Stegostoma tigrinum: one gene and its partners. The protein of the gene in region 3 purifies or fractionates together with the protein of the main gene of each other region. This does not show direct contact. Links are inferred from orthologs where the notes say so. Each region holds a gene or a part of one and is shown on either strand. Other genes may lie near its edges.

The links.
Region 1: the proteins of hdac3 (region 3) and atxn3 purify together in Homo sapiens (affinity purification with western blotting; 3 studies listed by BioGRID). This does not show direct contact. The link is inferred for Stegostoma tigrinum from reciprocal best matches to the Homo sapiens genes HDAC3 and ATXN3.
Region 2: the proteins of hdac3 (region 3) and runx1 purify together in Homo sapiens (affinity purification with western blotting; 3 studies listed by BioGRID). This does not show direct contact. The link is inferred for Stegostoma tigrinum from reciprocal best matches to the Homo sapiens genes HDAC3 and RUNX1.

What each region holds. Positions count from the first base shown.
Region 1 is NC_081363.1:27,977,692-27,988,160, forward strand, and holds the start of atxn3 (ataxin-3), read left to right. Parts: upstream 1-6,461; 5' UTR 6,462-6,505; coding exon 6,506-6,529; intron 6,530-8,652; exon of another isoform or gene 8,653-8,720; intron 8,721-10,469. Other genes in the region: NADH dehydrogenase [ubiquinone] 1 beta subcomplex subunit 1-like, read left to right, coding at 1,476-1,512. UniProt on the Homo sapiens protein: Deubiquitinating enzyme involved in protein homeostasis maintenance, transcription, cytoskeleton regulation, myogenesis and degradation of misfolded chaperone substrates.
Region 2 is NC_081365.1:22,189,404-22,200,537, forward strand, and holds the start of runx1 (runt-related transcription factor 1), read right to left. Parts: upstream 4,092-11,134; 5' UTR 3,931-4,091; intron 3,751-3,930; 5' UTR 3,707-3,750; coding exon 3,649-3,706; intron 1-3,648.
Region 3 is NC_081366.1:12,267,481-12,277,717, forward strand, and holds the start of hdac3 (histone deacetylase 3), read right to left. Parts: upstream 4,469-10,237; 5' UTR 4,418-4,468; coding exon 4,363-4,417; intron 1-4,362. UniProt on the Homo sapiens protein: Histone deacetylase that catalyzes the deacetylation of lysine residues on the N-terminal part of the core histones (H2A, H2B, H3 and H4), and some other non-histone substrates.

The DNA of each region.
Region 1 (10,469 bases), on a different chromosome or scaffold from region 3:
CTACTTTGACTTCTGGAAGATGAATGTCCACACTTGTGTATTTCTGACAATAAAAATTTTTGATTCATAAGTTGCAATGTCTAAGGTGACAACGCCAAATGTGAACTGTGATTAGCTGTGTATTTCCAAGTAACATCATTGCTTCTATATCCCATATTATACTTCTCATGCTAAGTTTTCAAACCAATTCTTTTTTGTTTTATTAAGATATAATTTCCCTTTATTTTGATTCATCAAAGTTATTGCTTGCTTTTATCTGTTTTCTGTTCATAGTCCTCTCTATTTCTTCTGCAGCTATCCATTTTGCTAAAAGCTTTTCTTTTTGTCTATTCATTAACTTTAATTGCCCACCTTCCTAGCTTAAGTGATTCTAGCAACACAAAGCACATGTGTAACAACTACTAATTGTAAACAGTTTTTTGTGGTAACTTTGAGCATCTGACCTTTTACATAAGCAGTGGCAAATGATGAAGAGCAATGCATACAAATTTAAAAAGATCTTGATCAGTTCAATGACTGACACTGTGGCAAATGTAGTTCAATACAAGGAAATGTAAAATTTTAATTTTGACAGTTTACGTATGAATATTAAATGGAAGTGTAGTTGAGGCCTTGAAACAGGAGAGAAATCTTGGGGTTTTAGTGAAAATGTCAAAACAAAGGAAATATAATGTTGGATGGCAAAGATAGGATTATGATGTACAAATCCAGAGAGGCTATTTTCAAACAGTATTCAATTGTCTATATTACTGTATTCTAGCTCAATCATTTCAGGTTTTTCATGTAGTTCTTTGCAGTGAGTGATACTTCTATGATTTTCTCATTTCATTGGAGTTTGGAGGGACTACCATGAGTCATGGATTTGACTTCAAGGGTGTACACGTGCTTATTTGGAAATGGGGACCTTTAGTCTCTTTACCATTTTAAATAACGACTAAAATTAATCAGATATTGGAGGGGGTATGGAGAAAGGATTTTCCTACAATATAAGAGAATGAGGAATTCTGGTGAAAAGTATTTTGCAGCTAATCTAAATGTTTGTAAAATGTATGATAATGCACATGGAAATGATGGAATGAATTGCTAGTAGGCAGCTGCAGCATTTTCTGGAATCAGAATATTCGAGTCAAAAGCTATAAACGAATTTCTGCTTTAATTTAGTAGTGAAGAAACAGATTGTGATAAAGTTGAATATCTATTTAGTAACTTCTGTAGTTATAGATCTTTTTAATCAATCTGGGCAGATATGTTACAACAACATAGTGGAGCATGAGACTTGAACCCAGATATCCTGGCTCAATGGTAAGGACACCACCAGAGTGCCATATGCGCTCCCAAAAAGTTTGATGAGTAGATATTTCAATCAACTTGTTCCGACATGTTATGACACACCTCTAGAGCAGGTTATGACACACCACAAGAATCCTAATTGAAGTTTTGTATATTTTAATTAATCACATTCTCATTCTTTTCAGGGAACTGAAACCAGGAGAAGAAACAACATGGAAGTGAAGACCTCAAAGCAGGACTGTGAAACAAGCAACCATACTGCATAAAAATCAGCCCAAATGCGGTTTTTGTCTTGAATCTTCAATTAGGGATCCGGTGAAAGTTAATTCAAGTAATGCTGTTTTGTTTTAGTACATTTTCACCTATCTCAATCTGCATATCTCTGTGTAACAGAAAACTAATTTAAAGTCCTAAAATTTGCCCAAGATTGTCCCCTTTGTATCACTGGAGTGTAAAGTTTAAAAATGAACAGCAGATAGTTCATTATTTGTTTCATTAACCTGGATATATACAAATGGTATGGCAGACTTAATAAAACTTATTGTATTTATTTTTATTTGAACCTTTTTTCGACATTACAATTTTGAAGTTGTAAAATGTTAAGTGAGGAATGGTAGGACATGGATTTGTGTCGAATGATCATCTTTCCATTCTGTTGCCCTGAGAATTGACAAAGCAAAAATACAAGTGTCATCAATTCCAAGTGATCAACATATTTGAATGAATGATTTAAAGTCACATATGTCTAGGGAGATACAGTGAAAAGTGTTCTGTCACCACAATCTGGTGCCATTTGGAGGTACAGAAGAATAAAAAGTACGAAATAGAATTCATCTTTATCAACCATAGTCCCAAACACAGCTGCAGGACTTCTGCAAGGTCCCTGCTTTGGGCCTACCACAGCCAGTAGCCACCACTCGGTGGGGCTGACACTGCCACAGTCAATGACCTGCTGTTGCCAATAGAGTCTGTGCTCTGGGCCTGCAGCAGCTGACAGCCCACTACTATTTCAGCAGTCCGTACATCAGGTCTATGAGCCAGGAATCAGCATCAACATCAATGTGTAGTGGAGAATGATACTTCATTAGATTATTTCAAATTATGAGCTCTTAATAATCCTACTGAACTTGACTGAGGACTTTGTAAATCTTGGAGTGGAACTGCAGTATTTCAGTGGCTTAATAAGATTGTTGGCAAGTATTCAAACAATTTAATTTGAAATGACAGCAGAAGGTGATTATAATAGCACACAATCAATTTATACATCTGAATTGAGTGCACCCTGGTATGACATCCATGAACTGCTTGTTTCCCACCTTCCTTTTCATCCCCTTCGCAGTGATGTGCCCATCATTGTGAAGAAGGCCATGTTACTCAACAGCAGGCATCTGCTATTTGTGTGGATTGAACATTGACTACCTATAATTTATACAAAACTGGTGGCTTGCCTTTTTATTCCTTTTCTTTTCCACCTTGTGTTTTTGTTGCTTGTTCATTTGAAAGATTATTTCACAGATTACCTGTTAAGTTTCCACAAACCCCAGACTGAAAATCATTGTCCTGAATTAGAAAGTCCAACAAACAGCTGTGTGATAATTACATATTTTGGTTTTATTGATGTTGGTTATGGGATAAATATAGCCAGGATAGTGGGAAAATGTCCCTGCTTTTCATACAAATAAGGAACAATTGTAGACCACTCAACCCTTTGAGCCTGCTATTCTAACCAAAGTTTACACTCTATCCATGTAGCAGTGGAGTGTCAGTCTAGATTTATGTTCATATAACTAGATTTAAATTAAATTGTCTGACTCAGAGGCAAAGTACTACCACTGAATCATGACTTACACCTAAAATCCTGTGTTGTTAATTTCTTAAAAATCATTGTTTTTGGTTCATGTCCGGATGCCAGTAACTAGGCTAACAAGTGGCAAGGAACGTTCATGCCACACAAGTACCATACAATGACCATCCACAGCAAGAGAGAACCTAACCATCGTCCCTTGACATTCAAAGTCCTTCTTATTCAGAGGCTAGGAATCCTGCAGTGAGTAACTCACCTGACTCACATGGCAGAAGTCAGAAATGCAACGGAAAATACTTCCCACTTGTCTGGATAGGTGCAGCTGCAACAATATTGAAGAAGTTTGACGTAATTTGGGGCAAAGCAGCTACTTTACTGGTACCACACCTAAAACATTCACTCCCACTAGTAGCTACAAGGTACACTGCATAAATTCATAAGGCTCTTTAGATAGCACCTTCCAAGCACCCACCTAGCAGATAACATCACCAACTGCAAGTGCCCCTAATTTGGAAATATATTGCTATTCCAATGTCACAGAGTCAAAATTCTGCAACTCCCTTCCTAATGGCATTGTGGATCTACCCAAACAAAATGTACTGGAACCATTCAAAGTGCCTCACTTCCACATTCTCAAGGGCATCTAAGGATAGGCAATAGATGCTGGCCCAACCATCAATGCCCACATCCACTGCAACATAATCTCATGTGCTACTGGCATCCAAAGGGACTGGAAAATGATGCCATGTACAAACAACAAAATTACATACGTGCAAATCCAACCACTGTCCTTCAAATCTGCCCTTGTAATTGTGATCCCAGTCTAATGTGCATTATTCTGGTGACAGCCAAACATCCTAGAAGCCCCAGATCACTGCATCTATAAGATGCTGAAAACCATGATTGGAGATCTTCCAATCTATCTCTCAATGCCACTTGAGAACTATGAACATGTCCCCATCTATAATAAAGGGAGCAGAGATTGAAAGCATCAAGTTCCTAGGAATGACAATAACCAACAACCCGTCCTGAACTTTCCACATAGATGGTCAAGAAGGCGCAACAAAGATTCTTGCTCAGACAGCTTAGGAAATTTAGCATGTCCACAAGGTCCCTCACCAACTTTCACAGATGCGCCACACAAAGCATAATAACAGGTACATTACGGCCTGGTATGGCAAATGCTCTGCCAGGACCACAAGAAACTACAGAAGGTTGTGTGCACAGCCAGACCATCATGGATGCCAACCTTCTATTAATGGACTCCATTTACACTTCTTGCTGCTGTGGAAAGGCTGCCAAGATCAACAAAATGTCTCCCACCCCGGTAATGCTCTCATACAACCTCTTCTGAGCAGAAGATACAGAAGCTTGTGCCCCCCTCCTGAGATGCTGCTTGGCTTGCTGTGTTCATCCAGCTCCACACTTTGTTGCCTTCAAGGCAACAGGGAAGCTACTCCTGAAACTGATCAGCAGATGCAAGGTATTCCGCACGGAAACAGACCCTTCGGTCCAACTTGTCCATGTCGACGATAAGAATTACATTTCTATACTCTCATGCTTCCCCAACTTCTAATCTGTGCTGCCGTAACTGCTGAGAAATTCCAGCAGTTTTTGTGGGTTTTGTTTTTCAGATTTCCAGCATCTGCAATTTATTTGGGATAATGGGAACTGCAGATGTTGTAGAATCCAAGATAATAAAATGTGAGGCTGGATGAACACAGCAGGCCCAGCAGCATCTCAGGGGCACAAAAGCTGACGTTTCGGGCCGAGACCCGATGAAGGGTCTAGGCCCGAAACGTCAGCTTTTGTGCCCCTGAGATGCTGCTGGGCCTGCTGTGTTCATCCAGCCTCACATTTTATTATCTTGGAATCTCCACACACGTACGAACAGGTTCAAGAACGGTTTCTTCCCTGCTATTATTAGACTGATGAATGGACTTTCTAACTTCAAAAAGGTGATCCTCCTGCGCAGTGTAACCTGTATGCCTCATTCTATTTAAGCACCCTAAGTTCTGTATATCCCTGCTTACTATAATCTGCTAGTGCTGCTCACAAACAAAGCTTTTCACTGTACTCAGGTACACGTGACTACAATAAATCAAATAAAATTTCAGACAGAAGACACTAACTGCTTTGTTTCCAATTGTATAGGCACAGGCAGGCAAGCCGATTCCTGAAGCTTAAAAAAATGAAAGAACTGCGGATGCTGTAAATCAGAAACACAAAGTTGCTGGAAAAGTTGAAGGGTCTAGGCCTGAAACGTCAGCTTTTGTCCTCCTGAGATGCTGCTTGGCTTGCTGTGTTCATCCAGCTCCACACTTTGTTGCCTTCAAGGCAGAGATCGACAAATTCTTGATCTCAGAAGGAATCAAGGGCTACGGGGAGAGTGCAGGGAAGTGGTGTTGAAATGCCCATGAGCCATGATTTAAATGGCAGAGTGGATTTGATAGGCCGAATGGCCTTACTTCCACTCCTATGTCTTATGGTCTTATGGTTATGCTGGAAAAGTTCAGCAGGTCTGGCAGCAGCCGTGAAGGAAAAAAAGAGCTAATGTTTCAGGTCTGATGACCCTTCCCCAGAACTGTCCTGAAGCTACTCCTGAAACTGATCAGCAGATGCAAGGTATTCCGCACGGAAACAGACCCTTCGGTCCAACTTGTCCATGTCGACGATAAGAATTACATTTCTATACTCTCATGCTTCCCCAACTTCTAATCTGTGCTGCCGTAACTGCTGAGAAATTCCAGCAGTTTTTGTGGGTTTCGTTTTTCAGATTTCCAGCATCTGCAATTTATTTGGGATAATGGGAACTGCAGATGTTGTAGAATCCAAGATAATAAAATGTGAAGCTGGATGAACACAGCAGGCCCAGCAGCATCTCAGGGGCACAAAAGCTGACGTTTCGGGCCGAGACCCGATGAAGGGGCTAGGCCCGAAACGTCAGCTTTTGTGCCCCTGAAATGCTGCTGGGCCTGCTGTGTTCATCCAGCCTCACATTTTATTATCTTGGAATCTCCAGCATCTGCAGTTCCCATTATCTCCGACAACATTCCTGTCTGGTCCTGCACAATAGGAGGGACAATAGTACATTTCCGCCAGCAACAGGCCGGCGTCAACTGTGATACAGGAAACTCCGGATCGGCATTGATTTCCTAAAATTCCGGACATTTTAGTCGGTTTCTGAAGAGAAGTGACTGCACTCGGTGTAGATCTAAAACCCAGGCCGGCTGTGTCCAAGCCGGGCCTCAGCCTCAGGGACACCCCCGCGTCTCTCGCTGTGTTACGTTGCTAGGGCGACTGTGCGTTTCTATACGCATGCGTATGAGCAGGCCGATGATTGGTTCTCGCTTTGACCCCGCCCCCAGTGGGTGTAGTCACGCCGCACAGGATGATGGTTCATCGTCCATCATGGAGGCGATATTTCACGAGAAAGTGAGTTGATGCGGAAATTACTGTTTAAAATGGTCGAGGTGGGAGCTCCTCGGGCCCTGAGAGGAACGGCCGCAGTGGCGTTCGACGTCGTGTTGCAAAGGGGGAAAAAAAACACGCACACACACACACGTTCACACACCCCTCCCTAAGGTTGGGGATGGAGTCGGGTAGGACAAGGGGAGCTGTGAGCTTCCCAAACGGTGTAGACGGGGGAGGAAGTATTCTTCTCCCCGAGTGGGGGGGTACTTTCAACCCTTTTCCCCTGCCGATTGAGGGGCCTTCACTCCCTGACCCCCCCTTCCTCCGACTGAGGAGTCTTCGCCCCCTGCCCTACCCACTCCGACTGAGGGGCCTTCATCTTCTGCCCCACCTACTCCGACTGAGGGGCTTTCACCCTCTGTCCCACCCACTCCGACTGAGAGGCCTTAACCCTTCTCCACCCTAACTGAGCTGCCTCCCCCTCTCCTCCCCCACCCCTAGTTTATTGAAGTTTTAAATATGTTGTTTGTAACAGTCTTTGATGTCCTGTTTCTGATCCAAAATATTTCTGATCATTCCCATAAAGCATTTAAGAGAGAGTTTTTCGTAATACACCTTTAATTACCTTTGTGTGAGGCTCAAAAATGACAGCAGCACTTGAGTATTGAGCAACACTTGTTACTGCATGATACAAGAGCACAATTTGTCAACCAGCTGACTCACAATAGTTGGTAAAGTTATGTTTTTACAGTTTTACTTCAATATAGGTGATCATTGTTCGGTGACTAATGTGTGGAAGTTCATCTGTTTCTGATAGGGAATTGGCTAGGGAGAATTGATGCCCAATATAGTGAAATGTTGGTTGTGATTACAATGTGACAAACTTGCATACATTTCCCATATAGATATGGGTGTTGGAATTGTCAAAATATGAAAATAAAGATGATGTAAAATGTTCAAATGGGGACTAAATTTCAACTGATTCCTGATCTGATTATCTCTCACCATATAACTTTATATCTTTTAAGGCAGCACAGGCCTTGATTCTACATAAAATGTCATAAGATATTACTAACTCATAATAATTGTGGTAAATTTCATTGATTATGCAGCTATTTATTTGTATTCTTTTAGTTCATACATACTGTAAATAACTCATTAAAACTTTACAATTTATGCCTAGTTATGCAAGACCTATATAATTCTGACTCTTGTACCTAACAATATAGCAGATAAGCTGGCTACATATGTGTGTGTATTGTAAAATGCCATGTATATTTATTTACTAATACTTGTACTTATTTGGCGAACCCTATTTTCTCTTATTCTGTATAAGAGCATCAGAACGAGAAGTAGATCGTTTGCCACCCCCCTCCCCAAAAGCCACTAAACTCATTCTTGATCACAAATCTGTCCAACTTAGTCTGAAATATGTTCAATGACCTAGTCTCAACTGTACTACGTGACACAGAACTGCAAAAATTAATGACACTCCTAGAGAAGAAATTCCTCACCTCTGTTTTAACTGGGAAGCCCATTGTTTCTCTTCTGCCCTTCCTCCCCAAGAGGAAACACTCTCTCCTACTTTTTCAGACCCCCCAGAATTGAATGTACAAACTTTTCCTTTCAAAGCTAACTGAGGTGACAAAAGGATCAAAACCAAAACATATACAAGATAATTGGAAAAAGAACTAGATGATTGTTGAAGAGAATGTTAGGCAGCAGTTTGTTCAAAGTTGGAATGCACTTAATAAAGGGGGGTCGAAGCAAACTTAATGTTTAAAAGCAAATTTGTGTACTTCACAGAATCTTGTATTCTTCCGCTTCTGCCACACACTCATCTTCTCCGTAAGCTATATGTTCCTCCTTTTCAGACAATAACCCATTTCCTTCTTGAATATATCAAGTGAACTTGCCTCCACTGTACTCTTAGCAGTGCATTTCAGATCCCAACCTACAGGAAAAAGCTTCTCATGTTTTTTGCCTGTTACCTTAAATCTGTGCCTTCTCATTTTGAAAGACTCAATAGATGAGAAATTTTTCGTTAATTACTCTGTCTAGACTGTCCTTTTCTCCTATATTGTTTCATGGGATCAGCATCTGTTGCTCATCCCTAATTGCCCTTGTACTCTATGGTTTGTTAGGTCATTCCAGGCAGCAATTAAAAGTTCACAACATTGCTTTGATCCAGAGCAACATATACGCAGACTGGGTAAGTAGGATAGATTTCCTGTCATAAAACATGTGAGTGAACCAGATGGATTTTTAATGATTTTTCATGCTAGCTTTATTTTGTGTAATGAACCCAGCTGATATTATTACTGGATAACTTGAATGCCAGACAGGAACCTGACTTGATAGATCATAATTTTATTTGTTTTGGTTTTAGAAACATGGTCTCTGACATAGACTTGAGCACATAATGCTCCAGATTTTGTTTCACTGACCAAACTAGTTTATTAAAAAGAAACAATGATAGAATAATCCAAACTACTTATGGTACAAATTGCAAGGTTTTAAACACATTAGAATCCCATTAATCCCAAAAACACCTTTATAAATTAAAATGAAGCCAAGCTGCTTTTAATATCTTGCTCAGAACACTCCTGGCACTGTTCTCAAACCATCACTCCTGGTACAGTATACAAGCATCATTCATGTAATATTCACGCCAGTTAAACTCGAACTCTGATACCTTACTCCTGGGGCTGTCATACACTTGAACTTTACTGCAAATAGCTTAAACAACCACTCCATCTTTGGCTTGACATGCTAAAGTACTCAGCAGCCTCCTTAGATTCAATACGTACTTATGTCTTTGTTAAATACATCTTAGCAGCAGTAGGCCATTTAACTCTTTAAGATGGCTCCTTTGTTCAATAGATTCTGGTTGAAATCCACATTGCCATTTGCCCTGAAAATCTATCTGTTCCCTTACCTAACAAGAGTCTATCAATCTCTACCTTAAAGATACTTATTGATTATGCCTTCTGAAGCCGAGTTCCAAAGTCACATAACCTCCTCATCTCTATTCTAAAAAGGCCACTAATAATTTTAAGTGTCTTCTAGTTTTGCTCTCTCACGAGAGTAAGTGTCTTTTTCACCTTCACCCTGTCAAGACAACTCCGAAAAGATAAACTTCAGTCAAATCACTCGCTCTTCTAAAGTGCAGAAATAGAAGTCCTTGGTGGATTCGCCCCCGTGAATAACTACACAGTGTGGTACCAAGTAATTATAGCATAATGTGGGCTTGTATAACATAAGCACAGATTACACGTGTAATATAACTTTTGACTTGGGCAGGCTACAATTGCACTTTGTCTCAAAGAAAAATCCAGGCAGTGTAGGATCATGCATAGCTTTGGAGTAACGTTGACCATACTGATTAGTGACCAGTGATTGCATTTTAGATTCGAACAGGATGAATAGCCAGTTGGCAACTTAACAGAAGCCTGTCTGGACTTGTGCAACTGTACCTTGGTACATGTGATTAAGCTCTGGAAAGGCACCATGAAAATTGTAAGGGAACTAAATCCTGTTTAGATTCTCTCTTGATGGAGATTCTAATTGTCTGGCACCTGCCTTTTGTCAATATTACTTAACACTTAGCCCATGGTTGAATATCATCTATGCCTTTTTGTATACAGCCTGCACTGGTTCGGTATTTAAGTCATAAGGACACTGCAGTCATCAGTGTATGTTCTCACTTTTGTCCCTATGATGGAGGGAAAGGTCAGTGAAGCACTAAAGAAGGTTAAGTCTAGGATACTACTCTGAGGACTTCTTGCAGCAATGTGCTAGGGCTAAAATGATTAATCTCCTTCAAACGCCACCATCTTGCTTTCTATTTATTGGGTATCTAATCAGTGGAGAGTTTAATCTTCTGATTTCCATTGGCTTCAGTTTCGCTTCTACCTTTTGATGCCGCATTCTGTCAGATGCTGGTTTTGACATTAAGTAA
Region 2 (11,134 bases), on a different chromosome or scaffold from region 3:
ACAAAATGAACAGACCTCAAAGGTGATCAGATGTTCCACTTAATGTATGTTATAAATTTTATATTTGGAACAAAGGTTGACTTGTGTCCTGGTGAACATTTACCCCTCAACTAACACCTAAAGCTACATATCCTGATGATATAACTCACTGCTGCCTTCTTGTAAATCAAGTGGCTGCAGTATTTTCAACAGTGGGCATATTTCACAAGGACCTGGTTGACTGTAACACATTTTGGGATAGTGTGAGAATGCAAAAGGTGCTATGTAAATGAAAGTTCTTCTCAACTTTAAAATATTTATTTCAAACATTCTATTTACCTTAGAATCCTTTATTACCCATTTGCTTCAATACATGTGCGCAAAATGCATTTCCTAGTGGATAACAATTTATTATAGGAGGATATTCAATGTTTCTTGAGTAAATATTGCATGGATGATCGCAGTAATGTTGCCAATGATGAGGAATAAGGAAACAATCTAGAAATTTTCTTTTTCTATTTTAATATTTTTCATATGGATAAATTGGGATTTAACAGCCTCTTGTTCCCAGTCTTTCAGAGCAGTACTTGTCTTAATTCATCAAAAGAAACCAAGATGAGAACCAAGTTCAAGTGATGTTTATGCTGTGGAATTGTGCCTTCCTGTGGTAGTCAGTGAGTATACTTGATATCAAACCAGGCAATGTCTAATATTCATTCAGCATATCCCTTCCAGTCTTGACTCATGCAACAGATTTGTAGTGCCAGGCATTGTGAAATGCCTCATTCATGGATTCACTACAGTGTGGAAGCAGGGCATTCAGCCCATCAAATCAACACTGAACCTCCAAAAGGACATCTCATCCAGACCCATTCCCCCTGCCCTGTAATCGCATATTTCCCATGGTCAATCCACCTAGCCTGCACATCTTTGGACTGTGACAGGAAACCAGAGCACCCGAAGGAAACCCACACAGATCTGAGTAGAACCTCACACAGAGTGCCACCTCGGGGTGGAATGGAACCCTGGTGCGTGGCACTGTGAAGCAGCAGTGCTAACCACAGAGCCACTGTCCTGCTCATTTTGTAGATACTTAACTAACAATGCCTTTGCTTATGCATTATCTAGTGATGCAGTGAAATATAATGAATGTAATGTCAACAATATTTAACAAAATTTAGAATGTAAGCCAAACTCATCAGTGAAGAGAGTCAGAGTAAGGCCTTAATACTATTGGTAGCAACTCTACTTTTTTGGTAAATTTTTGAGCACAAGAATCAGGAAAAGGTGCAGCATGTGCATCATCTTCTGAATGAGACCAAGGCTCTCTTTACACTCAGTGGATCAAAAAGATCCCTTGGCCCTATTTTTCAGGGAAGCAGCAGAGTTCTCCCTGATACCCTGGCTAGTATGTACCTTTCAATGAACATCACAATAACAGATTACCGGAACAGTATAATATTGCTTGCTGTGTATTGTGGGAGCTTGCTGTGTGGAAATTGACTGCCGCATTATCTACACCACATCATAGACAACACCTCAATAGTTTTTATTGGCTTTGAAGCACCTTGAGATTTTCTGCATTCAGGAAGAGCACAATGTTAAAACAAGTCTCTCTTTTATTCTACCTCACCTCCCACAACCCTGCAATCCTTTGATAGTTAGATCGTGAATGCAAAATGAAAAGATTACCAGTGCACAGCGCAAGGTTTGCTGGAACACAATGTACCATTGAGTGATATATTACCAGAACAATGAAACTGCGCTTATATTCTCTACCAGGATTAATGTTTAAACTCACTGTAAACTGAAAACATCCATCCTCTTGGGGCGCAATGTTTCATTGGAAGGTGCGACTTCAGCAGTTTCCTTGTAGGAGAGCAGAAGGGAGAGCCTGGTGTGGTATGATAGAAAAGACCCATATCCTTTGTGGTGTACCACACTCAATTCATGCGTCAGCTTTCTTCCAGTGTTTTCTTAGAATAGAACAATTGCTTTTTTTTTCTCTCCTTCTCATTTTTAACATGGGTATCGTGCTACAAGAGTTATGGATTTCCTTCTGAGAGAACTGCAAGGACTGATAAAGTGAAATATATGGGACGAGAACCACTTGTTATTTCCCCACAGCTGACCATTCGGGGTTTGTTAGCAGAGCGAGGGCAATAAATTTCAGCAGTGTTGTTGCAAAAGATGGAGAGAGCGGCGCCGGGAACGTTTGCAAAGACCGGGCTATGCAAATAGCCAGGAGAAAAGTGCACCAGAAACAATTTGCCCACAGACATGATTATTTATCTAACTTGCATGTGTCCAGGAGGCATTCTGTTTTTGCCTCATATCTCAAGGCTGACCAGAGTTCAATGCACAGGCAAGGGAAAAAGAGGAAGCCAAGCCAAAATAACAAAAACAAATTTATCTCAAGTACAAGCAGATTAAATAAGCTGATTTCCTTTCCAAATTTACGGCTTTATTATACACATATTTAAAAAGACTCTCCTCCTCATGTCTATTCAAGTTCTATTGAATACCTGTCTGGTTTGCATGTGGCAATTGCCCTTCTTTTGTTTTAGCCATCAATTGGACAGACCAATGGTGGTCTGGTGGTCTGCCTGCTTCAAGGTCTCTCCTCTTCTTACTCTTTCACCCGATGTGATGGGCTAAAAATGGCGTCTTAACTAATACCCTTAACTGTTCAGCAGCCTATGCCTCAGCTGCCTGCATTCTGTATCAGTGAAAAAGGATTATTTATACATTGCTCTTTATTACCTTATCTAACTCGTAAAAATTTCCTCAATAAGTTTTCCTGTGGCCACGGGTTGGAAACAAAACATGAAATAAAAGCAAACTGAATGCAGGAAGGTCCTTCTCATTATTTGGTGAATATTGTTTCCTCTGGCTGTTAACAGCACTGAGGAAACAGTTGTTTAGTGAGCCAAGGGAGCTGTTAGCAAGTTTACACTGGGACTGTGGCCATTCGACGGAGCTGAATGATGATGCAGGAATGCATAAATCATCCAACCACCATGAGTCGATGGTACAAATTTCTCGCTTAAGGTGCAGATTGTACTGAAAACAGTGACATGCTATGTACAATTGAGCAACAGTTTAGAAAGAGAGTTATCAATCTTTGTTTCAAGGGTGTTGCTCATGCATTTATCAGTCTCTCTCACTTCATTGTAGTCATTCTTTTTCAAAAACATTGAAAGAAAAGCAGCCTGATTCTGACGACTGTTAGTGACTCAAAATGACATAAGCTTCTGAACATATATCTCGTACTTCTGTTTCCTCACAGTCAAGGGTGACTAATTCTGTGTTTTCAAAACGACTTTACTAAAGACTCCAGTGTTTCTTCAGTCAGCCCTAAAGAGTACACACTTTCTTCAACGAATCCATCAGACAAGAGTCATATCATATTGTGAGAAAAGCTGCTCATGACAGACGTGTTTCAGTTTCTGAGCCACTTCTCTGTCCTCAGCAGAGTGTTTATTGAACTGGAGATAATTGCCAACTAAAATGAAATGCTTAAAAATAAACCTTTTTCTGCATCAGCTATGAACTCAGTAAGTACTCATCGTGCAGCCACAAAAGCAACAGCATCTTTCTTGTATCTAATGTTGGAGGACTATTTCTCAACATGCACCGGAGTGAATCATTTTAAACAGGGGTACTCACCTCGCATGAAGCACTGTTGATATGAAGGAAATGACTCGAATATGCTGTTCGAAGCCATGGTGTCCCGTGAAGCCGTCCTAACTGGTTGCACAGGTCTCCCACCTTTTCAAAGGAAAACCAACAGAATTTAAGAGTCGCACTCTCCACCGTACCGTTCATCTTTGGCAATTTCCTTTTACCTTATCACAGAGCTTCTGCAGTGCTGCAAACAACACGATAAGGTACTTTTTTGAGGTCTGAAATGTAAAAATAGTGGATTGGTTGTGGTTAGATGATGCTTACCACTGTACGAAATGCTTGGCACTCTGTGGTTTAAATCAGAATGAGTTGCTGTGTGCTGACCAATATCCCGGACCCACTGTTGTGTGACTGGTCTGCACCCAACTTGTGGTTCTGTGGTTGTTTATGAGGCCCAAAGAGTTTCACACAACCTAAATTACAAATTTAACTGTTCCCCTTTGATAATTCAACCTAATTGGCTGCCGTTGATCATGTGCCCCAAGTGATGTCGCTTTTTTTCTCATTGTAGCATGCCCTTCCCGCCCCACCTGCCCTCCCCTTAGCTCAGTCAGGAAATAGCAGAGGCTAGAGTTTGCAAAACTGACTCACAGTCCCTTTTTGCTTATTATGCAAATAGAACGATATGATCCTGTACAACAGAGCCTGTGTTGCTTTAAGAGTAATGGAGCTGTTTTAAACCATCAGTAATATTTCACTGCGGCTTTCAATTTTTGTACTGCTGAAAATAATACAGTTTTAAAGAAATGAATTCTATTGCTAATTTTTTATCATAGTTATCGAAAAGAAAAGAATTTCTCACTTGGAAGTGTTACGATAACATTATGATTTTGGTTTAATTATGTTCAGAGTGTGGTATACATTTTTGGCGGTACATTTGGTGCCTTTGCGATTATTTCTTCCCCTCAATCTTCGTAGAAGAATGAACAATTTTTCTAATATTATTGGAATATGGACATCTCCAATTCTAAATTTTAACTTTTAATAACCTTGAAGTGAAAATCCTAGGTGACATTTGCACGCTGCTCAATACTCCTACTGCATCCTGCCCAGATCTTGCTTGAAGTGTATGAGGGTGTCCATGAAATGAGGCAATCAGGACCGTCTCTAATGCCCGTCCACTGCTGAACTTTCTGCTGATGTTCAGCGCCTGTATGAAGAGTGGGCGCTGAAGCAACGGCATGGAGAGCTACCGACTTGGCACCTGTGGAATCAGCCCTCCCTGAGAGTAGGAAAACAAATAGGGGAAAAAGAAATTGAACTTTAAAACACTTAACCGGGAGCACTTATATATCAGATTGCTACTAATTGATGAAATCAGAGGCAATTTCCGAATAGGATACCTGATATCAAAAAAAGTACTTAGCTAAATAAAGTGATTCTGCAAGTTATAGAGAATTTAGGGACTCACCTTGTACTCAGTATCGCCAGTAACTGTCGCAGCACTTTTCACAAGGTCCTATTCCGAGCAGTTATTTCCTAAAAGAAATACATTAGTGCCTTTATGTTCTAATTGCAGTCCAAGGATTTGAAAGGCAAGTCAACGAATTTATTCTCCATTGGTAAGTGGCACATTATTCTATGTGTCGTCTGCTTATTACTGGCTTACGTTGCCTTTTTTTCGAGCGGACAATGCAAGTGATTGGGACTACTAATTGTTAGGTTGGAGTGTGCCTGGGTGTACAGCAGCTGGCTCACTGCAAGTATTCTGTGAACAAAGTTTTGAATTTCCTTTGCAGTTAACCACATTGCAATTTAACTGATCCATCTGCTGCTAACTTTTTCTTTGTGTGTTCCTACACATAGATGAAATTTACCAATTAAAAAAAAATTAAATCTTCAACCTCTGGTGACAAGCTGTATCTTTCAACAAAGAAATTGTAGTCCGTTAGTGTGATGGTGTGGATGTATGTCGGCAAATAACTTCACCATGTGTGAGAGATGTACATTATGAATTCTTCCTTGTACTTCCAGGCTATTATGCTTCGCGAAGCCTGGTGCTCATTTCCATGCAATTGGTGCCACAGTATTCAGAATCATTTGATGTTATATTCGAAAAAAATGAAAGCAAAGAGGGCGGAACAAAATAGGGGTGTTTGTCTCTCCTTTCTTCTTGAGTGATGTTCAGGCATAGCCATTGGCAAGGCTGTGTTAGTCAAAGAGCAAGATTCCACCCACCAACCCCCTCCCTTCCCTCATCCTATCGCTGTTAATTGTTCCCAGCCCAGCTCATGGCTCCTTTCCACAAGAGGATGCATCTACGGAGGTCTGCTGGCTCTTTGACATCAATCGATGTGTAGAGATGTTAAAAATGCACGTGGAAGCAATGTGAGGAAGCCAAGAACAGGAATCGAGCTCTGAAGAAGCTTTCCGAGTTAAATATCAGTCATTAACAGCCAAGCTGTGTGCAACCATTCAAATTTCTTTGGTCCTATCGATATATTTTAAGATATTCCAGAACAAGAGCAGCCTGCCCTCCACCATAGACCAGTGGGTCACAGGTATTCTATGGCTCATTATTACACCTTGAACACATTCTTTGCTTCATTAATACCCTGTTGATGAAATTCAACTGAGATAGGAGCTAAGGTTCTAGGATTGAAGTAAATGGCTCTGGGTCAGCATGGGAGAACAATCAATGTTTAATATGTATCCCTGTTAGAGGATGCAGCAATGGTGACGTCTGGAGAGGACAGAGAATTGATCTTGTCTGCCATGGTGTCTGAGCCCACTGGTATTCACTGATTGAAAATGAAGGGAAATTGGGTGAGATATTTCCACCCCTGGTGTACTGTATGCCTCAGAGCACTGCCATCTCTGAGCCTGTAAGCTCTTAGGTTCAAATATCACCACAAAATCTAAATAGACATGTATCTTTCAGAAGCGCCAAGTCCCCGTCTGCCTGTTCAGTTGATGTTTAAGGATCCCATGGATTAATTGAGTTGGAGCAGAAGTTTTCTCGTGTATGACCAGTATGTATCCCTTAAGCAACAGGGTTTTTAAAATGTTTACTTGATCAATTATTGTTTGTGTGAGCTTGCTGCATCCAAGTTTGTTTCCATGTTTTTTAACATGAGAACAAAGGACAAAACAGAAATGTACTTGAGTTCTAATGAAGGATTGCCAAACTCAAAATGTTACCTCTGTATTCTCTCTACAGATTCTACCGGATCTGCTGTGTTTCTCCAGCACTCTGTTTTTGTTTCAGATTTCCATCATCTGCACCTCTTTGTGTTTATCAAAAAAGTGTTTAGTTGGTTCTAAAGTGCTTTGAGTCAGCTTGTAGCTATACAAGGCTCTGTATAACTGATTACTAATGCGTGAAGCTACTCTAAAACAAAACTTAGCACCAGCAGGAGGGGCAAAATGCCATGAGAGTATGAAATAATCCTTTTTAGTTATGGGCTTAACCAGTTAGCCACACAAAATTAATTTTATCACCAGGAATTTTGAAATGTCAATTTTATTGCAACAGAAATGCAGGCTTTTTTTAAAATGAACTCCATTTGAGATGATGTCGAATTATGTTTGTTTGTAGGAGTTTTAGAAACCATTCACATTGACGTTAATTATATAGTTGAGTCTTAAATGCAGGAAGATGTAATAATAATATTGTGTACCTTATCCATTTAGTTGGAATCAGTACAGTAGATATGAACCAAAAAAGCTTTTGATATTTTCAACTACTATTTATTCATCAGTATTAATTACATTATTAAACTCTTTATTTGTTATACAGTCATGTCCTATGACGCTGATTGTATTTTTTTAGCCATTGCTGCCTACAAGAATTAGCAGGAATACATTTTCAGGCTTTAAGCTGAGTGGTTAGAGCCATAAGTTAGAGCTTGTAGTTATCTGAACATTATCCTTCAAAAGCTGAATCACTGAGGAAACCAAAATTTGACTTCAGTTTCAAATTCAGATTAGTAATCTTTTGGAGATACATCTTTGTGAAGTTTAGTGGAAAGTGAAATATCAGATGTATTTTCCCAAGGAGAATCAGATGAAAAGGTTGCACATGATTCTACATTGATTTTCTTTTTTGAGATCACAGTAATAATATGAATGATTTCAATCCATTTTTTTCAATCCCGCTCTCTGGTGTTGGCACACTTTGCAGGAACTGTGTTGTTCCAATTTCTAGTAACTAGGCGATTGTATGGCATGTACACCTCAAGGTTTGACAGAGTGTGCCAAGAGACTCTTAGACAGCTGATCGTAGTCTCACCTAACCTCCTACATTGGCTAATTCCTAGCCTAAACTAATGTGGAGCACTTCCCGGCAACCAGGGTGCTGATCAGCTAACACACAGAAGGCAAAATTCAAACTAGCCTTAACCCCAAAGCGGTTGGTGCAATAGGGTAGTAAGACAAGAGTTAACATAAAAACAAATACTGGGAATGCTTGAGATCTCAAATTTTAAAAAAAGTGATGGAAAGCCTCAGCAGGTCTTGCAACATTTGTAGAGAGAGACAGAAAAGCGGAGTTAATGTTTCAAGTCCAATATAATATATAAAATGTGAGTTAGCATCAGAAGTAGGCCATTTGCCCTCTCCAGCCTATTCTATCATCTAATAAGTTTTCTCCATATTCGCACCCACTCCTGATAATCTTCCACTTACCTGCTTGCCAAGAATCTATGCACCTCCTCCTTCAAACTATTCAGAGACATTGCTTCCACCACCTTTTCATAAAGCTAATCCTAAAACCTCCCAAATCTCGAAGAGAAAAATAAAACCCTCCCCTCAACTCTATCTTAAATCTGTGCTTCCTTTATCTTGAATCGCCTAATTCTAGATGCTCCTACAAGAAGAACATTCTTTCCATGTGCACCCTGTCATGACCCCTCAGGATCTTATATATTTCAGTAATGTCACCTTGTACTCTCCTGGAGAGCAAGGTAGGAATATGGGAACAGGAGTAGGTCACTTGGTCCCTCAAGACTGTACCGCCATTCAATGAGGTCATGCCTGATCGATGACCTAACTCCATATACACTCCTGTGACCCATATCTCTTAATAACTACATTCCAGTGGACACAATCCTAGTCTGTGCAACTTTCCTTCATAAGACAATTTGCCCATTCCAGTCTAGTATACATTTGTTGCATTTATATTCTCCCTTATATAAGGAAACCAGTGCTGTGCACAATGCTCTAGAAATGAGCTCACCAATTCCCAGTAAAACTAAAGCATAACTTCCCCACATTTGCATTCAGTACCCTTCACAATAAATGGTAACATTGGATTAACTTTCTGAATTACTTGTTGTATCTTCAAACTATATTTTGCTATCCATGCACTGGAATACCCAGATCCCACTGCATCTCAGAGCTTTGCAATCCCACCATTTTGATAATATGTTTTTTAAAAATTCTTCTTGATCCTGTACGAACCAAGGATAGGTAAAAATGGGATGGGTTGTCTACTGCTGAAAAGGGAAGGGAGGATTAAGAAGCCGAGGTATCATAGAACAAAATGCAAACTAGGTGGTAATGGTTATAGAGAACAGCAAAACATTCATCCAGGGGATAGAACAAAGAACTGTGGATGCTGGAGATCTGAAATGAAAACAAATTGGTGGCAAAGCTCAGCAGATCTGGCAGTGTCTGTGAGGAGAAAGTAGAGTTAACATTTCGAGTCTAGTGACTTCATCAGAAATGTTAGAAGCTAGGGAAAGGTGGTATTTATGCTGAATCTGACTTTAGGGTAGGGAGCAGGGAAGGCTACAGGTGAGTGGATAGGTGGAAATGGAGCCCTGATAGATAGAGATATAAAAGGGTAGGTAAAGAAGGAGATAATGGAAAGCAGAAAAGGTCAGAAGAAAAGCTGAATCAGTGACAATCAGAGCTAAGAGTAGGAGAGAGTGGGTGAGCTGTGCCGAAAGCAATCCATGTAAAGTGCTAGAACGCAGTGTGTAGCTGGATGAACACAGCATTCGAGGAGCAGGAAAGCTAACTTTTTGGGTCGGGATCTTTCTTCAGAAATGAACTCCTTCCTGCTCCTCGAAAGCTGCCTGGCCTGCTGTGCTCATCCAGCTACACACCGCCTTATGTCAAACTCCAGCATCAGCAGTTCTTACTATCTCTGTGCTAATGGACCTAGGAGTATGTGAGAATGGATGACTGAGCTGAAATCAATATATGTCATAACAGGACTGGGTGTGGGGATTGAATTTAAAAGAACAGAATCAGGTTCTAAAGTAATTGAACTCAATGTTGAGTCCTTGAGGCTGCAGGATCCCCAGGCGGAAAGTGAGATTTTTTTTTGAGCATGCGCTGAGTTTCACTGGAGCACTGAGCAGGCCCAAGTAAAAGATACTGGTGCAGGAACACAGTGATGTGTTGAAGTGGCAGGCAACTGGAAGCTTGGTGTCATTTTTGCGGACAGAATGCCAGTGCTGTGCAAAGTGGTCACTCAGTCTGCATTTTACCTCCCCACATTGACCGGTGGTGGGATCCTGAGTTGAGATAAAAGAAGGTACGCAGGAAGCACCATTGTGGAAGATTGAATTATAAAAAGAGATGAGACAGGGATGAAAAATCTGGGAGAATGGAATTGAGCTGTGAGGGGGTGAGGATGTGTGGTGATGGTAGCTGTGGAAATTGATGGAATGATAATGAATATTTAATGTTTGGCTAGGATGTTTGTTGCTCATTTAGGATGCTGCTAGTCAAAAGAAAGGACTACAATAGAAGCATAGAAGATAGGAACAGGAGGAAGCCATTCAGCCCTTTGAGCCTTCACAATTCTTCACAATCATGGCTGAATGTCCATCTCAATAGCCTCATCATGCTTTCTCCCCATAATCTTTGATCCCATTCGCCCCAGGTGCTATATCTAGGCACCTCTTGAGCACATTCAACTACTTCCTGTGGTAATGAATTCCACAGGCTCACCACTCTTTGGGTGAAGAAGTGTTTCCTCACCTGTGTCCTAAATGGTCTACCCCGAATCCTCAGACTGTGACCCCTGGTTCTGGACACACCCACCATCGGGAATATCATCCCTGCATCTACCCTGTCTAGTCCTGTTAGAATTTTATTAGTCTCCATGAGAATCCCCCAGGCAACAATTTGTCTGAACTCCAGCAAAAACAATCCCAACCTAGTCAATCTCTTCTCATGCATCAGTCTGCTCTGACCGGAATCAGCCTGATAAACCTTCACTGCTCTCCCTCGAGAGCAAGAGCATCCTTCCTCAGAAAAAGAGGTCAAAACTACACACAATATTCAAGGTGTGGCCTTACCAAGGCCCTGTAGAACACATCCCTGCTCCTGAACTTGAAACCTCTTGTAATGAAGGGCAACATACCATTTGCCTTTTTTACCGCCAGCTGCACCTGCATGTTTACCTTCAGTGACTGGTGCACAGGGACGTCAAGGTCCCACTGCACACTCCCCTCTCCTAATTTATAGACATTCAGGTAGTAATCTGCCTTCTTGTTTTTGCTTCCAAAATGAA
Region 3 (10,237 bases):
GATAGGTATCATAGCCTTTATGCAACATGTAACTTTATCCATCACTGGCTAAGTTTATCAAAGTTTAGAACCACTCATAATATTCAATGCACTGCAAGAAAAGAACACAAGAGAACTTTCCACAAAGAGGTCATGATTATGGTAGCCAAGATAGTTAATATGTGTAGAGAGGGATGGAACACAGAGATAGATCATCTGCAATTTTGTTAAAACAAAGAAATAGAGCACGGAACAGTACAAGACAGGATCGAGCCCTTCGACCCATGATGTCATGCCAGACACATCAAAATAAAGCAAATCCCTTCTGCTTGCCCTTGGTCCATATCCCTCCACTCCTTGCATATTCATGTGCTTACCTAAAAGTCCCTTAAATGCCCTTATCGTGTCTGCCTCAACCACTACCCCTGGCAGTGCACTCCACTCTCCTACCAGTCTCTGTGTAAAAAATGTGCTCATGTCTCCTTTGAACATTCCTCCCTCACTTAAATGCATACCCCCTAATATTAGACATTTCAACTCTGGGAAAAAGATTCTGACTGTCGATCCTATCTAACCATCTCATAATTTTATAAACTTCTACCAAGCCTTCCCTCAGCCTCCACTGCTCAAGAGAAAACAACGCGAGTTTTTCTAGCCTCTATTTATAGCTCATACCCTCTAATCTAAGCAGCATCACGACAAACCTCTTCTGCACCCTTTCCAAAGCCACCTAAAGGCTACCGAGTTGTCAGTCAGCATCTGACATTCAATGCGTATGAAGCCTTTCAGGAAGCTATTTACAAATCATGTTTTCCCTAGTTACAGGAATTCTTGGAAAATCAGGTTTTACATTAGGTTTCCATTGGGAACATAGGATTAGGAATAGGCAATTCTGCTCTGCCGTTCAATTAGATCAAAGTTCACTATCTACCTCAAAGCTAATTTTCTATTTATTTTGGTGAATGTACAACAATATGTGAGGTTTATTTCTAATAAATAGCCAAAAATTTCCTATTATAGGCACTTAGTTAAAAATTTGATAGCGTTAACGTACATGTCATCCTTGATATTTTTGCTAGATTATCTATACCTTCAAAGAAGAAAACACAAACTCAAAAGGCAATATTACTTCTTGACAACATTGTTAAAATGGAGTTTGATACAATGACAAATAGCTCTGTGAATCAACACTGGCCTTGAGAAAATCTCAAAAAAAACCCTCGATAAAAATTTTAACACTTTCACCTAGACGTAGAAAATGTAACCCATGTAATCGTGCCTAAGCAAGATAATGCAAGGGATTTTGGTAAAGGCAAGAAGTTTAAAAACTGTGGGGGAGCTAAAAAGTCTCTATCAATATCGTCCTCAATTTCTCATTTTCCCAACTTCTGTAACTCACTACTACTATACTAAATATCATCCAGCATTTTGTTAAAATTCATTCATACAATATGCCCCAACAGCAAGGTATTTATTGTCCATCTCTGACTGAGCTGCAGAAGATGCTGCTGACCCTCCTTCTTGAATGACTTGCCTTGATTTGACAACTTTAGGGCCAACTACACTGAAGTTACATATACCATGGTACAGGCAAGGATGGCAGACCTTCTTCTCTAAAGGAGATCCTGAACCTAATACATTCACACCTTTCCAGCAATTTCTAATCACTATTACTGACATGAAGTGTTAAATAAATTAATTAAAATTCTAAGCTGCTGAGGTAGGGATTTGAGATCTTCCCTCTGGTTCATAAATCCACATCCCTGAATTACTGGCACCATCACGTTTGGGTAACCCTCATGTCATTTCTCCTGTCTCAGTGCAGCACTTGTACACTTAATAACCACTAAGTCATATATCTCCAACATTGTATCGAAGAATGGCCACTTATAAATGTGTCAATGTTCCCCATGTCTCGATATGTTCCCCTTTCTCTATAACTAACTGCTCGTAACCCCATTGGCACCTTCCAGCCACTGATCCACTCAGTAACCACCTCTCCACATAGCTCAGTTCACTGAATCACCTCAGTTATCATAATACATTTCGGTATGTTTCAATTCACCATTCATTTTCTCCCATGGAGAGAGTCTCTATAAACCCCCTTGGTCTCCCTTTTGATAGCCCAATGTGTCCCCTCCCCCAGTCTGTATGTCCGTCTTGATTCATCCTCCTCCACCGTCCCTACGTGCTCCCACTCTCTCGTTCCACCCCTCACCCCACCGTCCCTACGTGCTCCCACTCTCTCGTTCCACCCCTCACCCCACCGTCCCTACGTGCTCCCACTCTCTCGTTCCACCCCTCACCCCACCGTCCCTACGTGCTCCCACTCTCTCGTTCCAACCCTCACCCCACCGTCCCTACGTGCTCCCACTCTCTCGTTCCACCCCTCACCCCACCGTCCCTACGTGCTCCCACTCTCTCGTTCCACCCCTCACCCCACCGTCCCTTCGTGCTCCCACTCTCTCGTTCCACCCCTCACCCCACCGTCCCTACGTGCTCCCACTCTCTCGTTCCACCCCTCACCCCACCGTCCCTACGTGCTCCCACTCTCTCGTTCCACCCCTCACCCCACCGTCCCTACGTGCTCCCACTCTCTCGTTCCACCCCTCAACCCACCGTCCCTACGTGCTCCCACTCTCTCGTTCCACCCCTCACCCCCCCCACCGTCCCTACGTGCTCCCACTCTCTCGTTCCACCCCTCACCCCACCGTCCCTACGTGCTCCCACTCTCGTTCCACCCCTCACCCCACCGTCCCTACGTGCTCCCACTCTCGTTCCACCCCTCACCCCACCGTCCCTACGTGCTCCCACTCTCTCGTTCAACCCTCACCCCACCGTCCCTTCGTGCTCCCACTCTCTCGTTCCACCCCTCACCCCACCGTCCCTACGTGCTCCCACTCTCGTTCCACCCCTCACCCCACCGTCCCTACGTGCTCCCACTCTCTCGTTCCACCCCTCACCCCACCGTCCCTTCGTGCTCCCACTCTCTCGTTCCACCCCTCACCCCACCGTCCCTACGTGCTCCCACTCTCGTTCCACCCCTCACACCCCCGTCTCCTTTCACCCCTTACGCCCCTGTCCCAATGTGCGCCCCTGCCCATTTCACCCCTCACGCCCCCTCCCGTCTCCCCCCGGGTCCCCACGTGCCGCCTCCCGTCACGCCCCCTCCCCCCGGGTCCCCACGCGCCCCTCCCGTCTCGCCCCCTCCCCCCAGGGTCCCCACGCGCCCCTCCCGTCTCGCCCCCTCCCCCCAGGTCCCCACGCGCCCCCTCCTATCTCGCTGCCTTCCGTCTCGCCCCCTCCCCCCCCCAGTCCCCACACGCACCCTCCCGTCTCCCCCAGTCCCCACCCGCTCCCTCCCGTCTCGCCCCCTCCCCCCCCAGTCCCCACACGCCCCCTCCCCCCCCAGTCCCCACACGCCCCCTCCCCCCCCCAGTCCCCACACGCCCCCTCCCCCCCCCAGTCCCCACACGCCCCCACCCGTCTCGCCCCCTCCCCCCCCAGTCCCCACACGCCCCCACCCCCCCAGTCCCCACACGCCCGCACCCCCCCCAGTCCCCACACGCCCCCTCCCGTCTCGCCCCCTCCCCCCCCAGTCCCCACACGCCCCCTCCCGTCTCGCCCCCTCCCCCCCCAGTCCCCACACGCCCCCACCCCCCCCAGTCCCCACACGCCCCCACCCCCCCCCAGTCCCCACACGCCCCCTCCCGTCTCGCCCCCTCCCCCCCCAGTCCCCACACGCCCCCTCCCCCCCAGTCCCCACACGCCCCCTCCCGTCTCGCCCCCTCCCCCCCGAGTCCCCACACGCCCCCTCCCCCCCCAGTCCCCACACGCCCCCTCCCGTCTCGCCCCCTCCCCCCCCAGTCCCCACACGCCCCCACCCCCCCGCCCCCTCCCCCCCCAGTCCCCACACGCCCCCACCCCCCCCAGTCCCCACACGCCCCCACCCCCCCCAGTCCCCACACGCCCCCTCCCGTCTCGCCCCCTCCCCCCCCAGTCCCCACACGCCCCCTCCCCCCCCCAGTCCCCACACGCCCCCTCCCCCCCCCAGTCCCCACACGCCCCCTCTCCCCCCCCAGTCCCCACACGCCCCCTCCCCCCCCAGTCCCCACACGCCCCCTCCCGTCTCGCCCCCTCCCCCCCCCAGTCCCCACACGCCCCCTCCCCCCCCCAGTCCCCACACGCCCCCTCCCCCCCCCAGTCCCCTCTCGCCCCCTCCCCCCCCCAGTCCCCACACGCCCCCTCCCCCCCCAGTCCCCACACGCCCCCTCCCCCAGTCCCTACATATGGCCCCTCTTGCTTCACCCGCTCCCTAGTTCTCTGTACCCGAACCCCATTCCCACTCTCCACCCTGTGTCCCAAAGTTACCCCCTCACTGACCGTAATGGAAGTTGCCCACATCTGGGTCATAAAAGTAAGAGACCTTCCGGGACATGGCGCGCCGGCCAGCCGCCCAGATTGCCACCCGCGCACGCACGTACTGTGTCACCACGCCATGCGTCTGACGCAGGCCGGCGCGGCGCTCGCTCCGACGAGGGGGCGGGGTCAGAATTGACGGGCGGTTTCCGTGGTTACAGCGCCGCGTCTCCCATGGCAACAGGGAGGCGACAGTGTTCAAGGAATTTGGGAACTGCAGATGCTGGAGAATTCCAAGATAATAAAATGTGAGGCTGGATGAACACAGCAGGTCAAGCAGCATCTCAGGGTTCTAGGGTCGGGTTCAGTCCCAGGGCGAACAAGGGATTGTGCTAACGTTGTGGTCAAGGCAAAGGGCAGTGCAAAGGTTAAGAGTCAAATAAAAGGGCAATGCAAAGGTTAAGGGCAATACAAAGTTTAGAGGTCAATATGAGAATTCCCTGGAAGAGCCCAGGCCAAGTTTAGGGTCAAAGTTACATTCAGAGTACATTAATGTCTGGATGTATGGCTCAACTCTACATACCTGTCTTCTGCCCGTTTCCCTTAATATCTTTGCTTAACAAATATGTATCAAATCAGATTTAAAATGAACAACTGATCCAGTATCCATTGCCATTTGTGATATGGAGTTCTGAGCCTCTACCACTCTTTGTGTGTAGAACTGATTCCTAATATCTGTCCTTAACGGCCTGGTCTTAATTTTTTAGATTGTGCCCCCTAGTTCTAGAATCCCCAACCATTAGTAATAGTTTATCTTTACCTACCCTGTCTTTAACTGTTAATATCTTAAAGACTTCAGTTAGATAACTCCTTAATATTATAAAACCGAAAGAACAGTGGATGCTCTAAATCAGGAACAAAAACAAAGTTGCTGGAAAAGCTCAGCAGGTCTGGCAACATTTGTGAAGGAATAAACAGAGTTAACGTTTCAGGTCCAGTGACCCTTGCTTTTCCAGCAACTTTGTTTTAACTCCTTAACATGCTTCAGCTCTCCTATCAACACAGTACGTACCTCCTTAATGACATCAGTTCAACGAGGCAGCTACCCACCTTCTTGAGGGTAAATGGGATTGGGCAATAATTCTTACATCTCATGGGTTAATAACACTCCTCGCTTCGCATGGTGTACAGTTCAATAAGGTAGATTGCCATCACTTTTTCTCGGAGCATTTAGGGATGGAACAAATGTCAATCTTACTGAGCATGTCCAAATCCCATTGACAAATGTTATTAACCTCAGGATGTAAGGGGCATTGAATCTAATTCGAGTAACCTGAGCGAAGCTGGCTTGGTATAGTAGGAGAATCAGGAAATGGAGAAAATACAGAGAAACCTTTTTCCTCTGGCAAGGGTGGTGTGAGATGTGAACAAAGTAGTATAACCTTAAAATTAGAGGTAGGGCACTCAGGGAAGAAGTGTTTCTTCACACTAAAGGAAGAAATCTGCAATCTCTTGACTACTAAGCTCAACTGAGGCTGAGGAAATTGAAGATTGCAAAACTGATTTTTGTTAGAGAGGATATTAATTGTCATGGTACTAAGTCAGATAGACAGTGTTTACAAGTTAGATCAAAAAATATGTTACTGAATAATGCTAAAGGTTTGAGAGGCTAAATGATCTTATCCCGTCCAAGTGGCTTGTTGAGATATTTCAGTACCATGCCAGCTCACAAACATTGATATATGTAGTGAAGTATCCCTGGGTCCCTCATAACAGCACGAATCAGATGCAGCATAACATTGAGACATGAATGCAGATATTGGGAAAGATGAACAGAAGTATTGCTGCAAAATTAGATCTTAAGGAGCCTCTTGAAGGAGGACAGAGGTTAAATTATTAATTCTAAGGAGAAGGGCATTGCTGGCTAGGTCAACATTTATTGCCCACTCCTACTTGCCCAGAGGGAAGTTGAGAGTCATGCACATTGCTATGGGTCTGGAGACACATGTAGTCCTGACCAGGTAAGGATGGCAGTTTCCTTCCTTAAAGAACATTAGTGAACCAGATGAGTTTCGCTGACAATCGGCAATGGTTTCGCAGTAATCATTGAACGTCTATTTTCAGATTTTTATTGAATTCAAATTCCACCATCTCCCACGGTGTGATTTGAACCCAGGAATATTACCTGTGTCTCTGGTTTAACAGCCCAGGAACACTACCACAAAGCTGCCACCTCTCCATAAAGGTTATTGGATAGAAAGATTACAGAGGGAATTTTAAGCGAAGGCAGGTGTAACAATTAAGATCTGGGATGTGTAAAGGGCCAGATACAGAAGTCTGCGGGAGAGTATGGCCTGTCACAGAGCTTTGAGTGGGATTTGGACTGTGTGGAGGCTTTTGCTGGCCCTCTGGTTAGAATAGAGTCAGGCTCATGCCTTGTGTCAGAAGCTCCAATTACAACATTTACAAGGCATCTGGATGAGTACGTGAATAGGAATGGTTTAGAGGGACATGGGCCAAATACTGGCAAATGGAACTAGATTAATTGAGGATATCTGCTCAGCATAGACGGTTAGAGTGAAGGGTCTGCTTCCATGGGGGACGATATTGCATGATTTGCAATCACTGCCGTTCAGAATCCAGTGGATCAACTTGCATGCTTCTGGCCAAAGACATTCAGGTACCGAACTATACAGGTATCCTCAGGCCCTTGCATTGCAATGCTGATATGCATTGGAACACCTATCTCCTGTAGGTGATACAGGTAAGCAGTGCGTGAGGGAGAGTCGTCCGTCTCAGCTCTACTGCAGCAGCGGAATGAGTGTTGAAAAATCCCACTGTTCTGAGGCAGGAGAGTGAACAGGCTGAAGGTCACGGTGATACTGCAGCATGGCAGTGAGTGACGAATGGGTCCAACCAATGCCGCACGGAGGTGCCTAGAGCGGCGACTTCTAGATGTAGCACATGGAAATGAATGACCGAAAGATCAAAGTTGGAATTGCGATGGAACAGAACGCTGAGAGAAGGAAGAGGGAGCAGAGCGGGACCAGAGAGGCGAGCAGATGCTTGCATCACTCTGCACACTCTCTTTACGTTCCTTTCTGCTGCCTAACCTTAACCGGAGGACAACCGATATCCTTCAACATGACCTGCTCAGATTCGCTGCGATGGTGCTGACGCAGTTGGACGAATCTACCCCTGCAATTTAACCCATTCAGGAGGCAAGTAACAGAATTGTGAGGGAGAACTGGCTTAATTAAGATGCAGTGGGTATGTGATACCAAGTTTGGGCTTTTAATACGTGGAGCTTGTCGGAGGTGGGACTGACGGAGTAAACAGATGTACATTTTTAGAATCCCAGAGCCAACGAGATGCAATGATATTTGACCTCAACGTGAGAAGGCAGAGTAAACACAACAGGATTTAGGTCCTCGGGATCCTGTAAGGTTGGTGCTATTGCAAAGATTCATTGAATGACCTGAGCTTAAATGAAGAGAGGCTGAATCTAATTTCAGTGTATTGCAGTGAACAGTTTGTATCTATGTGTTGGTTCGAAAGCTTTCTACGTGCTGTATGCTTTATTACTTCGAAATGATTCACAAATATCTCGTGTCATTTCCCACCCCCCCCCGCCAGGAATTTGCCGTGCTTGTGTAAGGTAGATTCACGGCCCTTCCCGATAGCCATTTAAACTGGTGGCACACTGTTGTAAATTATAAATGTGCTTACTGAGATGAGAGGGAGATGAGTGTCAGTAGCGGATCAGTTTCGCTGCTGAGATCAAACGCGCGCCGGTCAGGCTCAGCAATAAATGGAACCGGTTCCCATAAAGCGAAGTTGCCTGAATCAGTTTTGTTAAATGTCTTCCTTATCTTGGGTTATAATTTCTGTTCGTTTACAAAACAAAACAGAAATAGCCCGAGATAATGGGAACTGCAGATGCTGGAGAATTCCAAGATAATAAACATAGCCTGAGTTTATTTAGCATCTTTTATCCCACCAGGACTTCCCAAAGCACTTTCACTCAGTGAAATACTTTTGAAGTGTTGTACAGGTCACAGACCTTCGACGGTGTGAAAATGACTAGATTTTTTTATTTGAATCCGTTTTGATAGTTTGATGCTATTTGCATCTAATTGAGGTAGATGGGCCTTTCATTTTCGAATCATATGCAAAGTATACCTCGTCTAACATGCTGTGTACCCTCAGAACTAACATGAAGCACTCCCGCAGAGCCGACCTTTCAGTAGTATAACACTCTCTAAGATCTGATATTCCAATAGCGGATTACTCCCACAATGTGACCTTACAATGCTGTTGTGCTCCCCAGCATTGTTCCTTCGAAACGCATTGCTCCCTGACTACTGCCTCTCTGACAGTGTAGCACTCCTTCAGTACTGCCCCTCTGAGAGAGCAGCACTCTCAGCATTGGTCCTCTGACAGTGCAGCTTTCCCTCAGCTCTGCACCTGCAACACTGCAGGATTTCTTCAGCACTGCCCCTCCAAAAGTGCAGCTTTCGCTCAGCACTGCCCCTCCAAACTAACTCACGTTTTTGTTTTAGAATGCTATGTTCATTTCTGAGAACCACACCTTAGTGAGGATATATGAGCCTTGGAGAAGGTGCAGTGCTCAGTTCACCAGACTGATGGTGTTGAGAAACATATCAGCCATGTTTGAATGGTAGAGCAGGCTTGATGGACTGAATGGCCTAGTTCGGCTCCTATATCATATATCTTATGATATCAGGCTAAACGAGTTACACTTTAGGGGCAGGTTACATAGGACAGCTGGCAAAATCCAAAAGAACTACGGATGCTGTAAATCAGGAAAGAAAACAGAAATTGCTGGAAAATCTCAGCAGGTCTGGCAGCATCTGTGAAAAGAAATCAAAGTCATCATTTCGGGTCAAGTGACTCTTCCTCAGAACAGAGGAAGGCTGGCTGGTGTTCTGTTATATGTACAAGATTAAGGAGTGATCTAGTTGCAGTGTTTAAGATTATTAAAGATTAAAGGTAGAACTCAGAAATAGGAAGGATGCAGTAACAATGTTGGGGCTGTACTACAGGCCTCCCAACAGCGAGCGTGAGATAGAGGTACAAATATGTAAATAGATAATGGAAAGGTGTAGGAGAAACAGGGTGGTGGTGATGGGAGGGTTTAATTTTCCCAACATTGACTGGGATTCACTCAGTGTTAGGGGTCAAGACGGAGCAGAATTTGTAAGGTGTGTCCAGGAGGGTTTTCTAGAGCAGTATGTATGTAGTCCAACTCGGGAAAGGGCCATACTGGACCTGGTGCTGGGGAATGAACCCGGCCAGGTGGTTGATATTACAGTAGGGGACTACTTTGGAAATAGCGACCACAATTCCGTAAGTTTTACAATACTCATGGACAAGGATAGGAGTGGTCCTAAAGGAAGAGTACTAAACTGGGGGAAGGTCGACTATACCAAGATTCATCAGGATCTGGGGATGTAGATTGGGAGAAACTGTTTGAAGGTAAATCCACATTTGATATGTGGGAGGCTTTTAAGGAGAGGTTGATTAGTGTGCAGGAGAGACATGTTCCTGTGAAAATGAGGACTGGAAAAGGCAAGATTAGGGAGCCATGGATGACAGGTGAAATTGTGAGACTAGCCAAGAGAAAAAAGGAAGAATACATGAGGTCTAGGTGACTGAAGACAGACGAAGCTTTGCAAGAATATCGGAAATGTAGGGCGAATCTGAAAAAAGGGACTAAGAGGGCTAAGAGAGGACATGAGATATTGCTGGCAAACATGGTTAAGGAAAATCCCAAAGCCTTTTATTCATATATAAAGAGCAAGAGGGTAACTAGAGAAAGGATTAGCCCACTTAAGGACAAAGAAGGAAAGTTATGCGCTGATTCAGAGAAAATGGG